Linked DNA regions of Sus scrofa. The protein of the gene in region 2 interacts with the protein of the main gene of each other region in a pairwise test. Links are inferred from orthologs where the notes say so. Each region holds a gene or a part of one and is shown on either strand. Other genes may lie near its edges.

Region 1 (8,013 bases), on a different chromosome or scaffold from region 2:
TTTCCAGCAATCGTTTCATACTTTGTCTACCTTCCTCAAACACCCAGAAACCCTTCACCTCCTTGCACCCCTACCTTAAGTAGACAAAAAAAAAAAAAAAAAAGTCTTCTTCAGAAATAAACCTGGAGGCATCAGAAAGAAATTTCCCTACCTTCAAGACATCAAGTCCCCAGTTTACCTACCCAGCTCTTGACTTCTTCTCTCCCCCTCCCTTCTATTACAGAGAGGGAAGCAGTGGAGTTCCCATTTTGGCGCAGTGGAAAATAAATCTGACTAGTATCCACGAGGATGCAGGTTTGATCCCTGGCCTTGCTCAGTAGGTCTGGGATAGGGCATTGCTGTTGAGCTGTGGTGTAGGTCGAAGATGCGGCTTGGATCTGGCATTGCTGTGGCTGTGGTGTAGGCCAGTGGCTACAGTTCCATTTTGACCCCTAGCTTGGGAACCTCCATATGCCCCGAGTGAGGCCCTAAAAAGACAAAAGACCAAAAAAAAAAAAAAAAAGACTACTTGAGAATGCTTGGGGAAGTCCTTGAGACAGCAAAGCAAAACATTATTATAACTGTATTACATATGTTCACATAGCTAAATAGAGATGGGAAATATATATACATATATATATATATTTTTTTTTTTTCCTTTCTTTCTTTTTTGGCCACACTTGTGGCACATAGAAGTTCCCAGGCCAGGGGTTGAATCCAGGCCACAGCTGCAGCTGCACTGGATCCTTTAACCCACTACACAAGGCCAGTGCCTTGAACCTGCACCTCTGCAGTGAGCAGAGCTGCTGTAGTTGGATTCTTAACCCACTACACTACAGTGGGAACGCTGAAGAGGGTACATTTTGAAAATATATATTTTGTAGGGGTACAAGAACAAAAGGGTTTGAAGATGCTACTCTAAGTACCATCTGCCTTGCCCCTTTCTCTGTGACTTTGCTCCTTTGATCATGCCATCTTCCTCCTGAAGCATCCTTTTCTTCCTCTCAGCTGCTCATTCCCATTAGCACATGTATCCACTGTTATCTACATCTTCGAGAAAACCCTTTCTTGGAGTTCCCATCGTGGCTCAACAGAAACGAATCCAACTAGGAACCATGAGGTTTCGGGTTCTATCCTTGGCCTCAGTGGGTTAAGGATCCGGCATTGCCGTGAGCTGTGGTGTAGGCTGGCAGCTGTAGCTCCAACTGGACCCATAGCCTGGGAACCTCCATATGCCGTGGGTTCGGCCCTAAAAAGCAAAAAAAAAAAAAAAAAAAAAAGAAAGAAAGAAAAGAAAAGAAAACCTTTTCTTGACCCCCACAATGCACCTCCAGTTACTGCCCAATTGCTCTACTACATCCACAAACTCTCTTCTGCACTTGCCGTCGCTGCTTCTTCATCTCTCCTGCACTTTTCAGCCTGTTCCAATGTGGCTTCCACTCCAACCTCTCCACCAAAATTCTTCTTCCTTTACTCACCAATGACTTTTGGGTGTATGAGAGAAAACTTATGCATGAGTTTATTCATTACAGGATTTTGTATACACCAATGACATCTTTGTTGCCAAATTAAATTCTTTAAATTCTCATCTTGCTTGCCCTTGCAGTTATTTTCAATAGTTTACCACTCCCTTCAGCAGTTTACCACTTCCTCCTCCTTAGCTTCTAGGAACTACCCTTTCTGTGTTCTTCTCACCTCTTCAGCACCTCTTTATCAGATTTCTTGGCTGGCACCTTCTTATCACTGCAGTTTCTAAGTACTGCCATTCCTGTCCTTGGTCCTAAGGCTCTCTGTACTTCTGCCCTTGGTGATTTCATCCAATATTATAGTTTTAAATACATACAAATACTCATAATTCACAATAGTATATCTCCAACCCAGACTCTCCTCTGGGCTCAAAGCCTGTATTTCCAGCTGCCCGCTTGACAGCTCCACTGGAATGTCTCAAAGGCATTTCAGATTTACCATGTTCAAAGCTGAATTTTCAGCCCCCACCCCCCCAAACACAAAATAATGACTCTATCCACACAATTATTCAAGCCTGGGAGTCATCCTTAAACTATCCCTCTTCCTTACCCCTCCTTCCCCCATATCCAGTCTAATACTGAGTCCTGAGATTCTGCTTCCAAAAGCTGTCTTAAGTGCGTCTGCCTCTCTCCATCTCCACCACCACTATCATCTCAGCCAAACCACCATCATCTCTCACTTGATTAATTACAGTAGCCTCCCAACTCTCTCTAATTTCACTCTTGCTCTCCTTCAGTCCATTCTCCATGGAGTAGTAGTCACAGTGAACTTTTTAAAATATAAATTGAATGGCACCCTCCTGCTCTAATACTTCAAAGACTTCTAATTACTCTTAAGGAAAAAAATCTCTTTATATTTGAACTACAACCTGGTTATCTTTGGTCTACAAAGATAGACCATTTGACTGTCATTTGACTGCTTATCTCTCCAGCTTTGACGGTGACATTCTTCTCCCATCTTTTTTCGTCCCTCTAGGAAAAGCCCATTCCTACCTTGAGATTTCACATTTCTCTCCTCTTCCCCCATTGTTCACCTGATTAACTCCTCCTCATCCTTTGTTAGTCAAACATCACCTCTGATGTCTTCCTTGAACTACAATTTAAACTAGGTTTTGAGAGTTCCCATAGTGGCTCAGCAGGAACAAACCTGACTAGTAACCATGAAGACAAGGGTTTAGTCCCTGGCCTCACTCAGTGGGTTGGGGATCTGGCATTGCCATGAGCTGTGGTATAAGTTGCAGAAACAGTTCAACATTGCTGTGGCTGTGGCATAGGCGGGCAGCTGTAGCTGCAATTTAACTCCTAGACTGGGAACTTCCATATGCAGTGGGTGCGGCCCTAAAAAGCAATAAACAAACAAACAAACTAGGTTTCCTTGGAGTTCCCTGGTAGTGCAATGGGTTAAAGATCCAGAGTTGTTACTGCTCATTGTTCTGGGGTACATTCCATCCTGGTCCGCATGCTGCACGTGCTGCCAATATAAATAAATTAAAATAAACTAGGTTTCCTTGCTTTTCCCTCTTCCCTCATAGTTTTACTACAGTTGGTAAATATAAACTTTTTTTTACAGCTGAATTGAGACACATTGACTAGTTTATGAGATTATTTGCTGTTTCCTAGAGGGCAGAGTCCAGGAGGTTAGACTTTTTTTTTTTTTTTTTTTTTTTTTGTCTTTTTAGGGCCGCACCTGTGGTTAGGGGTCGAATGGGAGGTGCAGCTGCCCGCCACAGCCACGTGGGATCCGGGCCACGTCTGCCACCTACACTGCAGCTCAGGGCAACTCCAGATCTTTACCCACTAAGCCGGGCCAGGGATGGAACCCGCATCGTCATGAATACTAGTTGGTTTCTTAACTCTACCATTCTCCACCCCGTAAGGTGTAGTTTTCGGCCCACCCACCTCTATGCTCCTGGCAATTGAGCATCATGCAACACCCCTGACAATCACAGACCAAATAAAGAAAAGGATTGTGACATGAACTCTAAAGGTGACTGCGTTTGCGTCCCAAGGCCAGAATATGACGCTGGTAGGTTCATAGCTCCATTCAAGTCGGCGAAGTGCACCACTCCCCTCCCCCGCCCAGACCTGGGGGCTCTCACACCCATCGCCAGGAAGCTCAAGCTCGCCCCTCCACTCTGGACCTTCCGTACAGCATGGCAGCCCCCAAAGGCGTCACCCATAGTAGTGGCTTCCGTACAACATGGCTGCCTACAGGGAGCTCACCGCACCCCCTCCCGCCAGGCCACCGGAAGTTTCCATTTGAAACCGAGGCGGCGGACTCTGTCGGCGCTACGGCAGTTGCTGCCCGGCATCTTTTGAACTCGAGTGACGAGGCCTGCGGGCAGGAGCAGCAGGCGCCTAGGTTCGGCTCTCCTGGGTCTGGAGACTGGCTGGGTGTAGGAGGCCCATGGGATGGACTGGGAATTGAAGAATTTTCTCTATTCCACGTCGTGCTCTCCTGGGGCCCTCCGTCAGCTTGGGTTCCCTGGGCCAGCCCTGGGTAACATTCAGCTTGTGCCTTCCAGGCCCCAGTCGTGCTGCCTCGTTACGATGACCAGCGTGGTTAAGACAGTGTACACCCTGCAGCCCACTTCTGTGCTGAGCAGCTGTCTGGCCGCAGGTGGGTGCCTATGCCGTCCCCACCCCCGCCCCCAGGGCGCTGCCTGGGGTGGTCAGGCCAGGGAGTACGAGGAATCAAATTGGCAGCTGAGAATGGAGGGTGTCGGCAGGGAAGGGCATTCTGTCGGCTCTGAGAGCCCACTAACTCCCTTAGAACCGGACTGTCTAGACTTATGGGAGTTAGGGAAAGAGCCAGATGGTGGGACTTTGTAGATTCGCCCTATATCCGGATTCCCCCAAGCTGAGCATTCACCAATTAGATTTAAGTTGATGATTATTTTATAGTGTTATCCCATTAAGCTAGGAATCCCTTTTTAAACATTTGCCAGTTTTATTTCCAGACTTGGGGTATCTGGAGGTACTGGGTTTGTTGTGACTGAGGGGAAAAGAGAGTCATTTGAAAGACAGGATACTTATTAGGGAGAAGCAGTCGGTTCACATGGTATCTGGTTCACATTTGTAACTGTACAGTGTGTCTCACATAGAACATAATAAACATTTTTTTGGGTGAAGTGAGAGAGAAGGGACAGGCCTAGCTAGTATTTGGGAACCTTGGAAGAAGAGACATGGTTAAAAGCAATGTTTGATTGCTTTGCCATCAGGCTTTGTGTTCTTTGGTTTGTGGTTGCAAGTCATCGCCTAGAGCCTGCAGGTGTGGAGCTGCCTAATCTAGAGATTGTAGCCCAGAACAGGCTTCAAACATCAGCACCTTTGGTGGGAGATTTTGAAGCAGCTGGTTAAGATCCCTTCCCAGTGACTCCACGCAGTTGATTGATGAGCACTAGCAGGATTGACCTGTGAAGTAATAGGCTTTTCTCCAAAAGCCTAAAGTGCTGTGGGAGTTCCTGTCATGGCGCAGTGGAAACAAATCAGACTAGGAACCATGAGGTTGCAGGTTCAATCCCAGGCCTCAATCAATGAATGAATTAAGGATCTGCCGTTGCCATGAGCTGTGGTATAGGTGGCAGATATGCCCCCAAGCCTGCGTTTCTGTGGCTATGGCACAGGCTGGCAGCTGTAGCTCGGATTAGACCGCTAGCCTGGCAACTTCCATATTCTGCGGGTGCAGCCCTAAAAAAGAAAAAAAAAAAAAGGCCAAAGTGTTCTCTTTGCACCTGGTGTCAGCAGGGCTTAGGTGTTGCTGGGGGAAACTGGATCTGCTTTTATGCTGCCTTTCCCTTAAGGGAACAGTGTCTCCCATTCAGTGGGGCATGACTGGCTCTCCCCAGCCAAATTGGAAGTTTTCATCTCTTTGATTTCTCTCCTTGTCCCAGCTTTGTGATCCTGTGTAGCCTCAATAGTTTAGCATTTTTAGGCTGCCTCCCAGGTTTTTTAATTTTGATTTTAGGCATGAGTTGGCTGGTTTTTAGCTTTTGAATCGGTAATATATGCACATGTAAAAACAAAAAAAAATTCCGAAATTAGGAAATGATAGCAAAAAACAAGTCTTCCCTTGACATAGCCAATTAGTTCCTTCTTTAGCGTCTCTCTTTTTTTTTTTTTTTTTTTTCCCATTTAGGGCTACACCCTGGGCATATGGAAGTTCCCGGGCTAGGGTTCAAATTGGAGCTGTAGCTGCCAGCCTGTGCTGCAGCTTGTGGCAACACCGGATTCTTAACCCACTGAGCGCGGCCAGGGATTGAACCTGCATTCTCATGGGTACTACTTGGGTTCATAACCCTCTGAGCCACAACGGGAACTCCTCCTTCTTTTATTTTTTGAATTTATTTTTTATTTTTATTTTTTGGCTGTGCCTGAGGCATGTGTAAGTTCCTGGGTGGGGATTGAACCCTCATCACAGCAGCGACTCAAGCTGCTACAGTGGCAGTGCTGGATCCTTAACCTGCTGTGCCACAAGGGAACTCTGCAATAGAATTCCTTTTTTTTTTTTTTTTGTCTTTTTGCCATTTCTGGGGCTGCTCCCTCAGTATATGGAGGTTCCCAGGCTAGGAGTCGAATCAAATCAGCGCTGTAGCCGCCAGCCTACTCCAGAGCCACGGCAACGCAGGATCAAAGCCTCGTCTGCGACCTACACCACGGTTCACAGCAATGCCGAATCCTTAACCCACTGAGCAAGGTCATGGATCGAACCCTCAAGCTCATGGTTCCTTGTCGCATTTGTTAACCACTGAGCCACGACGGGAACTCCAAGCAATAGATTTCTTACTGTGTATAATGAATTAATACTTGAGAGAGGAGAAGATAAATTCATTCACCCAAGTCTGCCTCTTACTTCAGACAGACTTCAGAAAGAACCCTTTTAATATTTGTTTTGGGGGAAAGAGTACAGAAAATAGGGTGTAAGTGCCCACTGAATGTACTGATAAGCGGAATAATTTGTTAGCCTGAGAAATGATATTTATTCCAAATTGTTATGCAACTGGAGTCATCAAAATAATTCTCTGTTCAACGCAAATATAAAGTTTCCTAATTTTTCTGATCCAGTGCTTCATATTATTTCTTCAACCTGATTTAATTGTTATGGCTCTTAATTTAGGTCAAGCTTAAAGGAGACAGTTTACAATGAACAAAGCGAAAGCATAAACTAGAAGAACCTCTGTGCATGTGCTGGGGGGGTGTGCCTAACTCTGGAACAAGTTACTTGAATTTGTTATGGAATGTAAATGGTAGAAAACATGTGTGGTGGAGCACTGGAGCCCCTAAGGGCTTGGGGGGAAATGCTCGTTTATGGGGAAGAAGAGTGTCATGTCAGGGCCATTTGTCTGGTTATCTGGCAGTAGCCTAGCAAGGTCAGAACAGAATGCTAAACAGGGAACGTCTAAACTTAATGATGGATAAACAAATTTAAAGGGCTGGAGTTCCTGCTGTGGTGCAACTGGATGGGCAGCATCTCTAGAGGGCTGGGACACAGTTTCTATCCAGACCCAGGATGGTTGGTTAAGGACCTGGCCTTGCCACAGCTATAGCATAAGTCACAACTGAGGCTCAGATCTGATCCCTGACCCTGGAGGCTCCCTATGCCCCAGGGTGGCCAGAGAAGAAAGGGGAAAAGAAAAAAAAAAAAAAAAAGCTGGTGGTAAAAGTAGTCAGCATTGAAGAGGGGAAGAAAAATAGAGAAGTAGGTTTAGAGAGTCTGCGAAGAGTTCCCTGGTGGCTTGGTGAGTTAAAGATCTGGCATCGTCATTGCTATGACTTGGGTCACTACTGTGGCACAAGTTCAATTCCTGTCCCAGGAACTTCTGCCTGCCACAGGCACAGCCAATAATAAATAATAGAGATGGTCTATGAATCAACCCATGAAACTGTGATGTGTTCTATTTATTCAATAGGCGGGTTTTGAACCTCTCTCTCTCTCTCTTTTTTTTTTTTTTTCTTTTTATGGTGCATCTGTGATTATGGAAGTTCCCATGCCGGGGGTCAAATCAGAGCTGCAGCTGCTGGCCTATACCACAGCTCATGGCAACGCCAGAACCTTAACCCACTGAGTGAGGCCAGGGATCAAACCCATATCCTCAGAGACAATGTCAGGTCCTTAATCTGCTGAGCCACAATAGGAACTCCTGAACCTCTCTAAATATGCCAGGTACTCTCCTAGATGCTGGGGCCACAAAGGCATCCCTTAGAGTACTAGTTAGACAGCCAGTCTGGTCAAAAAATCTAAGCAACAGCTGAAACTCAAAGCAGCTTGAGGGTAACCTTAGGAGAGTGGGCAGAGTGCTTAGAAGCAGAACAAGATGGTCCCCTCGTCTGCTGTTTGATGAAGGGTACACTGTGTCTTGCCTTGCTGACTGCAACACTGCCTCTCATGCTGTCTGCTTGTGTGAATCTCCACTTTCACATCTGTACTTGCTGGCCATTCAGTCTGATGTATCATCAAGCTTTTGGCTACCTTCAAACACACTGCATTGTCACATTTAAAGAATTTTGG
Region 2 (7,197 bases):
TGGCTGTGGTGTAGGCCGGCAGGTGCAGTTCCAATTCAACCCAGAGCCTGGGAACTTCCATATGCTGCAGGTGTACATGTAGTTCTGTGCATCCTCGGTCCTGACCGGGTCCAAGCAGACGCTGTTTGGAAGGAAGGCAGGAAGGATGAATCCCCAACAGATGCCTCCATACACACAGCTGTGAAATCTTTGCCAGTGTTTGGTCAGCTGTATTGCTTCGAATGAGCCCTGAAACTAGATCAGGTAGACCGTGGGAGGAATCCTTGGCCACTCACCAGCCTTGTGACCTTGATTGAGTCACTCTCTGAGCCTCTGTTTTCCTTCTTTGAAGAATGGGGGAGGTGTTCCCTGGTGACGCAGCGTGTCAAGGATCTGGCAGTTATCCACTGCTGTGGTTTGGGTTTGATCCTTGGCCCAGGAACTTCCACATGCCTCCGGCTCCGCCAAAATAAGAAGAAGGAGGCGGAGGAGGAGAAGAAGGAAAAGGAAAGCAGCAGTGCGCCCTGGGTGGCTCTGGAGGAAGCCCTTTTATACCACAGGTGCTGTCGCCATTCTCCCTTTACAGATGAGCAGACTGAAGCTCAGACGTGGGCTCAAGATCTTGTAGCTGGTGGAGTTCTCGTTGTGGCGCAGCAGTAATGAACCCATCTAGTATCCATGAGTATGCAGGTTCGATCCCTGGCCTCGCTCAGTGGGTTAAGGATCCCGCATTGCTGTGGCTGTGGTGTAGGCCAGCAGCTGCAGCTCTGATTCGACCCCTAGCCTGGGACCTTCCATATGATACAGGTGAGGCCTTAAAGCGACCCCCCCCCCAAATAAAAAAAGAAAAAAGAAAAAAGATCTTGCATCTGGTAAGCAGGAATGCAGCTCACAGGGGTGAGTGAGTGAAAGACTGCCCCCTAGAGGTAGCTTGGGAATTTGTGGGTGTGTTCGCAGTCGCAGAGACTGCGCCCGTTGGAGCCGGACAGTCCCTCATTCTGCAGGATTGCCCCGACATCCCGCAGGTGTCTGACTGTCCTGCTAAATGTTCAGGAAGCTAAAAAGCAAAAACAGGAGTTCCCGTCGTGGCTCAGTGGTTAACGAATCCGACTAGGAACCATGAGGTTGCGGGTTCGATCCCTGGCCTTGCTCAGTGGGTGAAGGATCCGGCGTTGCCGTGAGCTGTGGTGTAGGTCACAGATGCAGCTCAGATCCCATGCTGCTGTGGTTGTGGTGTAGGCTGGCGGCTACAGCTCCGATTGGACCCCTAGCCTGGGAACCTCCATATGCTGAGGGTGCAGCCCTAGAAAAGGCAAAAAGACAAAAAAACAAAAACAAAAACAAACCCCCCAAAAAACTTATTTACCATGTCATGATTGGATTCTTTTGCTCCTATACTTAGGGATAACGCCCATCACTTTGCAAGAACCCGGTATTTTCTCATTTCCTCCACCTTCATTTGCCTTGGTGTCATCATTTTTTTAAGTTACCGTTTTCTCCTCTTTCTCCTATCCGCTGGTCTGTCATCATTGTCCCCACTCTGTCTTTATTCAAGTGTCTTCTTGTCTTCACTTTCATTTCCTGGGTGTTAAAGGACTCACAGATCACCCACATCTGGAAAACAAAAGCTAAATTTAATGCTGGCTCAGGCCCGGGAGCAAAGCAAGCAGAAGTGCCCCTGCTGATACAACAGAGGACAAGACCGGGTTATTAAAGGGTTTGCGGGAAGAATGGGTTTAGGTAACTAATGCTGACATGGAGCGGTGTCTCCTTGGGCTCTCAAGAGGGAGAGGGGAGAGGGGGGCAAGGGAGGAGCAGAGGATTAACACCTGCCCTGGGCTGAGAAGAAAGTCCTCTCGCGCTGGAAACCACAGAGTTTAAAAAAAAGAAAAGAAAAAAGTAAAAAGCTGCCTCCTTTTCTGTTCCTGATGGCTATGCCGGAGAGCTGGGAGCTGGTGCTCTAGCCTCAGCTAAAGCAGGAGTGGACAAGCCAGGGTGTGGACTCTCTAGGTCAATGTGACCCACGCCGTCAGAGCCTTCAGCCAAGAGTGGAAAATTCCACTTTCAGGTGTTACTGATCTAAACCCCTTCCTTTCATTCACAGTAAATGAGCACGAACATCTGTTTACTTCATAATGCCTTCTACCTCAGTAGAGTCATGATTTGAAATATGGATGATTTTATGTTATTTTTTAATTGACTTTTTTTTTTTTTTGCGTTTTAGGGCTGTACCCACAGCACATGGAGGTTCCCAGGTTGGGGGTCCAATAGGAGCTACATCTGCCAGCCTACCCCACAGCCACAGCCATGCGGGATCCGAGCCATGTCTGCGACCTACACCACAGCTCACAGCAATGCCAGATCCTCAACCCACTGAGCGAGGCCAGGGATGGAACCCACATCCTCACAGATGCTAGTCGGGTTCGATAACCCATGAGCCACAACGGGAACTCCAGGAGAGCATTATATTGAGCTGTTTGGAAACTGTGTGATCAACAGATGCCACGCAGCTAACCCTGTAGCAGGCAGTGTTCCAAGTGCCTTGCTGTGGATTATCTTGAACGTCACCCCAACTCTATAACCTGGATACAACTATCATCCTCCTTTTACAGAGGAGGAAACTGAGGCCCAGAGACGTAAAGTGACTTGTCCAGGGTCGCACAGGAAGTAGTGGATCAAGGATTTGAATCCAGGTCATTTGGCTCCAGAATCTGCATTCTTAACCACTCTGCTAGCCCCCATCTCAGGAGGGGGAGATCATCTACTGACCCCCAGTTCAGGATGTTAAGGGGGCTTTCCAAGGTGTTTCTTATTTAAAAGTAAAAGGGGAGTTCCCATTGTGGTTCAGTGGTAACAAGCCCAACTAGTATCCATGAGGACCTGGGTTCGATCCCTGGCCTCGCTCAGTGGGTTAAGGATCTGGCGTTGCCGTAAGCTGTGGTGTAGGTCACAGAGGCGGCTCAGATCTGGTGTTGCTGTGGCAGAGGCATAGGCTGCCAGCTGCAGCTCTGATTCGACCTCTAGTCTGGGAACTTCCATATGCCACGGGTGCAGCCCTAAAAAAAAAATTATAAAAGAAACTACATAAATACAAGAAAAAGTGGGCGTTGGTTGAGATCAGGGTCAGAACGCATGACAGAGCACAGCGTGTGTTGTGTCCTCTCCCAGGTCATTCTTCACTCCATGTTCTGCCGCCAGTCCTGAATCTGAGCCAGAAGCGGATGGGGGTGGAGGTCAGCTGTGTGGCCGTGACCCCCCAGCCCAGGAAGGGCATGTGGCAGAGGGCAGGCGATGGCCAGGGAGGAGTCAACCAGGTGAGGCGCTGAGTTCCCTGCTGGTTTAGATCCCAAGGGCTGTTTATGCCAGACTCCGCCTCCTCCCTCCTCCCCAGCCCCCAGCCCTGAGGCTCTTCTCTGTGGAAAAATACCCAGCTGGGCGAGCCCCGGTGAGAGGGAGGAGGCAGGGGGGCTGGGGCTCACGGGGGAGGGGATGACTCCTTTCCCCTCTCGTGACTGGTGTTTACTTGGCTGGGTTCTGGGAAAAGGCCAGATTGCATCAGACAGAGCCTGAGGGGCTGGAGCCAGACTAGGGGCTGAGGAGGAGACGTGGCCTTATAAATCGGGGCCGTGAACTAGGAGGTGTCAGGAAAGCAGATGCAAACACAGCCTTAGAAGATGGGCGAGGAAGAGAGAGACAGAGACAGAGACATTATGACCACCTTCCCGCGAGCAGCCAGCCCCCCCAGGCAGCTCCTATGCCCAGAAGATGAAGACCCCAACCTGGATGAGTACGACCTCTATAGCCTGGCTCATTCTTACCTGGGTAAGTCCCGGCCCTGCCACCTTCCCAGTCCTTCTATTTCCAACACAGTCCGACACCCCATCTCCCCACACTAGAATCCTTCCTTGGGCTCCTGCCCACCCATCACCCTTCTCCGGCCTGTTCCCTTGATCTTTCAAGTTGCCCCCTTCTAACCCCGCATCCACTGAGCATCCCCGTCCTACTTGGCCCTGGGACCTCATACTCTGCTAGAGTGTTTGGAGCAATGACAGATTGGGGGGCGGTACCCTATTTCCACAGATGGGGAAACAGGGACAAGGACATCCCTAAAGCTACGTGGTCATGACCCCCCAGCCTCCTGACTTTAACCCGAGCTCTTCCACCCCCGCCCGCTGGACCCCCAGCCCGTCCCTTGAGGCATCACGCCTCTGCCCACCTCACCGCGGACCCCTGTCTTGATTCCCAGGAGGGAGAGCCCGGAAAGGTCGCACCAAGAGAGAGGCTGCTGCCAACACCAACCGCCCCAGCCCTGGTGGCCACGAGAGGAAGCTGGTGACCAAGATCCAGAACACGGAGCGGAAAAAGCGAGCAGCACGGACCTGAAACAGAACTCGAGGTAAGGAATCAGGGGCTCCCTGAGTACCAGTAGAGGTCCCTCTGCTAGGAAAGGACAGGCCTGAACGTGCGTGGGTGGGCAGGGAGGAGGGATCAAACAATTGCTGTCCCAACATAGAATAAAATGAGACATATGTTGGACTCTGAGTTCCCTAGTGGCCAGAGCAAAGAGGGAAACAGATCCTTTCCAACTGGAGCAAAATTTGGTTTAGAGAGAGGGAAACCGAGGCCCAGAGAGTGTAAGATCTTTCTCTGGAGTCACGGGTGAGTGAGCAGGAGAGCCAGAATTAGAACCCGGGCCTTTGTGCTTTCACCATCTGCTTTCCTTCTGCCAGGTGAGGCCAGAGCACAGACACCCCACAGCAATGGAGACAGGACTGCGGAGGAATCAGTGCCTGGGGGCGGGATCCAGGCCTGCTGGCCGCCCTGCCCCTCCACCCCCAGGACTTACCCCACGTGACTGAGGCTCGAGGGGCTGCCAGGGAAGCCGCCCCAGCCTGAGAAAAAGGGCAGGTTGGGGAGCAAGAGGCAGGGGGTAGAGAAAAGCAGGGTCACCCCAAACAAAAAAAAAAGAAAGATGCTAAAGAGGCTGGAGCTTCCCAAGGGTGACAGTGACAATAAACAAAGTACAGCAGCTGCAGCCTGTGTGTGTGTGTTTTGTCCTCTTTATTTTCGTGGGGTTTTTTTTGGGTACATGTGTATCTGCATTTGCATGAACCAGAGAGAGCAATTTTGGTTAGTGTTTGTATTTGGTTATGCGTCTGGGAAGGGCTGTTTCTAATTTAAGGTGAGCTTTTTTTTTTCTTTTCTTTTTTTGTCTGCATGTTTGGGTGCATGTGTTTCTGTGGTTTCTTATGCAGTGTGAGGGAATTTCCTCTGTTCTTTGTAATGCTGCCTGTGAAATAAGCCCTCTCCCCAGCTCCTCTCTGTTTTTGCTTTTTTTTTTTTTTTTTTTTTTTTTTTGAGGGCTGCACCCGTGGCATACGGAGGTTCCCAGGCTAGGGGTCTAATCAGAGCTGCAGCTGCCTGCCTACATCACAGCCACAGCAACACGGGATGCCAGCCGTGTCTGCGACCTACACCACAGCTCATGGCAATGCCAGATGTTTAACCCACTGAGCAAGGCCAGGGATTGAACCAGAGACCTCATGGTTACTAGTCAGATTTGTTTCCGTTACACCACAATGGGAACTCCTCCTCTCCTTTTTTTTCTTTTTTTTTTTTTTTGGTCCTTTTGCCTTTTCTAGGGCCCCACTCGCGGCATATGGAGGTTCCCAGGTTAGGGGTCTAATCGGAGCTGTAGCTGCCGGCCTACACCACAGCCACAGCAACGCGGGATCCGAGCCACGTCTGCAACCTACACCACAGCTCACGGCAACGCCGGATCCTTAACCCACTGAGCAAGGCCAGGGATCGAACCTACAACCTCATGGTTCCTAGTCAGATTCTTTAACCACTGAGCCACGACGGGAACTCCATCTCCATTTTTGGAATAACAATCTTATTGTTTCTGTTGTCATCACATAAAACCATTTTTGAAGTAAATATTACTCATGGGTGCCACCTGCAAAATGGAGAGAATGGAGATTTAAAACATTAAGGGATTGCCCAGGGGCTCAAATTCAAGGATTCTTATTGTCCTCATGTATGAGGTGTGTCCCTTTGACAAGGGGGCTGCAGGGACAAAATTCTGGGAGGTCAGCTGCGGAGGAAGATTCTTCCCTAGAGTTATCAGTCTAGGAGCCAGACTTTGAGAAGAACTTGGGGCAAATAAGAGGTGTGATGAAGAGTTCCTGGTGTGGTTCAGCGGGTTAAGAACCCGACACAGTGTCGGTGAGGATGCGGGTTCCATCCCTGGCCTCGCTAAGTGGGTTACAGATTCGGCATTGCAGATGTCACAGTCATTTTGGCAAACAGCTCCTTCAGATTTCCCGTCAAACCCTCCTTTCCACAAAAGATTATTTATTCATTCAGTTCATGTGTATTAGATGCCTGCTGTATTATCTGGTTGAAGGCATGCATGGTAAGGAGGGACAGATGGCACCCTGATATGATTGGAACCAGCCCTTAGGGCCAGTGTCAGCTCTTGGACTCAGGAGGCAAATGGCAGGAGTGATACTCAGCACTAGCTCTCTGCCCAGGGCGGATCTGGTGCATCAGCTTCAGAAAATCACAGCAACAGGAGTTTCCGTCATGGCTCAGCGGTTAACGAACCCCGATAGCATCCATGAAGACGTGGGTTCGATCCCAGGCTTTGCACAGGGGGTTAAGGCTCCATGTTGCTGTGAGCTATGGTATAGGTGGCAGACCAGTCTCAGATCCCGTGTTGCTGTGGCTGTGGTGTAGGCCAGCAGCTGTTGCTCTGATTCGACCCCTAGCCTGGGAACTTCCATATACCATGGGGGTGTGGCCCTAAAAAGACAAAAATAAATAAATAAATAAATAATCGGGTTTGTCTGGTTTTCAAAGCCAGAATTTTCCCCTTTTTGACTACTGGCCTGAGAACACTGCAGCCAATAATGAGGCATCCTAGACGCTAGTTAACTTCTAGTCAATTACTCCATCTGAGCCTCAGTTTCCCCACCTGTCCATGGCTCAGACCAGCCTCTCCTCTGTCAACTTCGAAGGAGAAAACAGGGTGGGAAGTGTTTCGTTCCTAGCTGGTCGGGGCCCCTCCCTGGGTAATGGGTCCTTTGACACTTGCCAGGAGGCCCCACACTTCCCCTCCCTCCTGGCCGCCAACTGACCTTCCTGGCCTTGCCGTCTCCTGACACAGCCTCTGCCTCGGAAGCCTTTAAGTGGCAGTTCCAGGAACCAGACAGC

Evidence for each region.
Region 1: the proteins of NUPR1 (region 2) and KNSTRN interact in a two-hybrid assay, tested with the Homo sapiens proteins (2 studies listed by BioGRID and IntAct). The link is inferred for Sus scrofa from reciprocal best matches to the Homo sapiens genes NUPR1 and KNSTRN.

The regions. Positions count from the first base shown.
Region 1 is NC_010443.5:130,925,463-130,933,475, reverse strand, and holds the start of KNSTRN (small kinetochore-associated protein), read left to right. Parts: upstream 1-3,303; 5' UTR 3,304-3,658; coding exon 3,659-3,867; intron 3,868-4,030; coding exon 4,031-4,125; intron 4,126-8,013. UniProt on the Homo sapiens protein: Essential component of the mitotic spindle required for faithful chromosome segregation and progression into anaphase.
Region 2 is NC_010445.4:18,399,398-18,406,594, forward strand, and holds NUPR1 (nuclear protein 1), read left to right. Parts: upstream 1-3,383; 5' UTR 3,384-3,653; coding exon 3,654-3,801; intron 3,802-4,225; coding exon 4,226-4,362; 3' UTR 4,363-4,375; intron 4,376-4,709; 3' UTR 4,710-5,014; downstream 5,015-7,197. UniProt on the Homo sapiens protein: Transcription regulator that converts stress signals into a program of gene expression that empowers cells with resistance to the stress induced by a change in their microenvironment.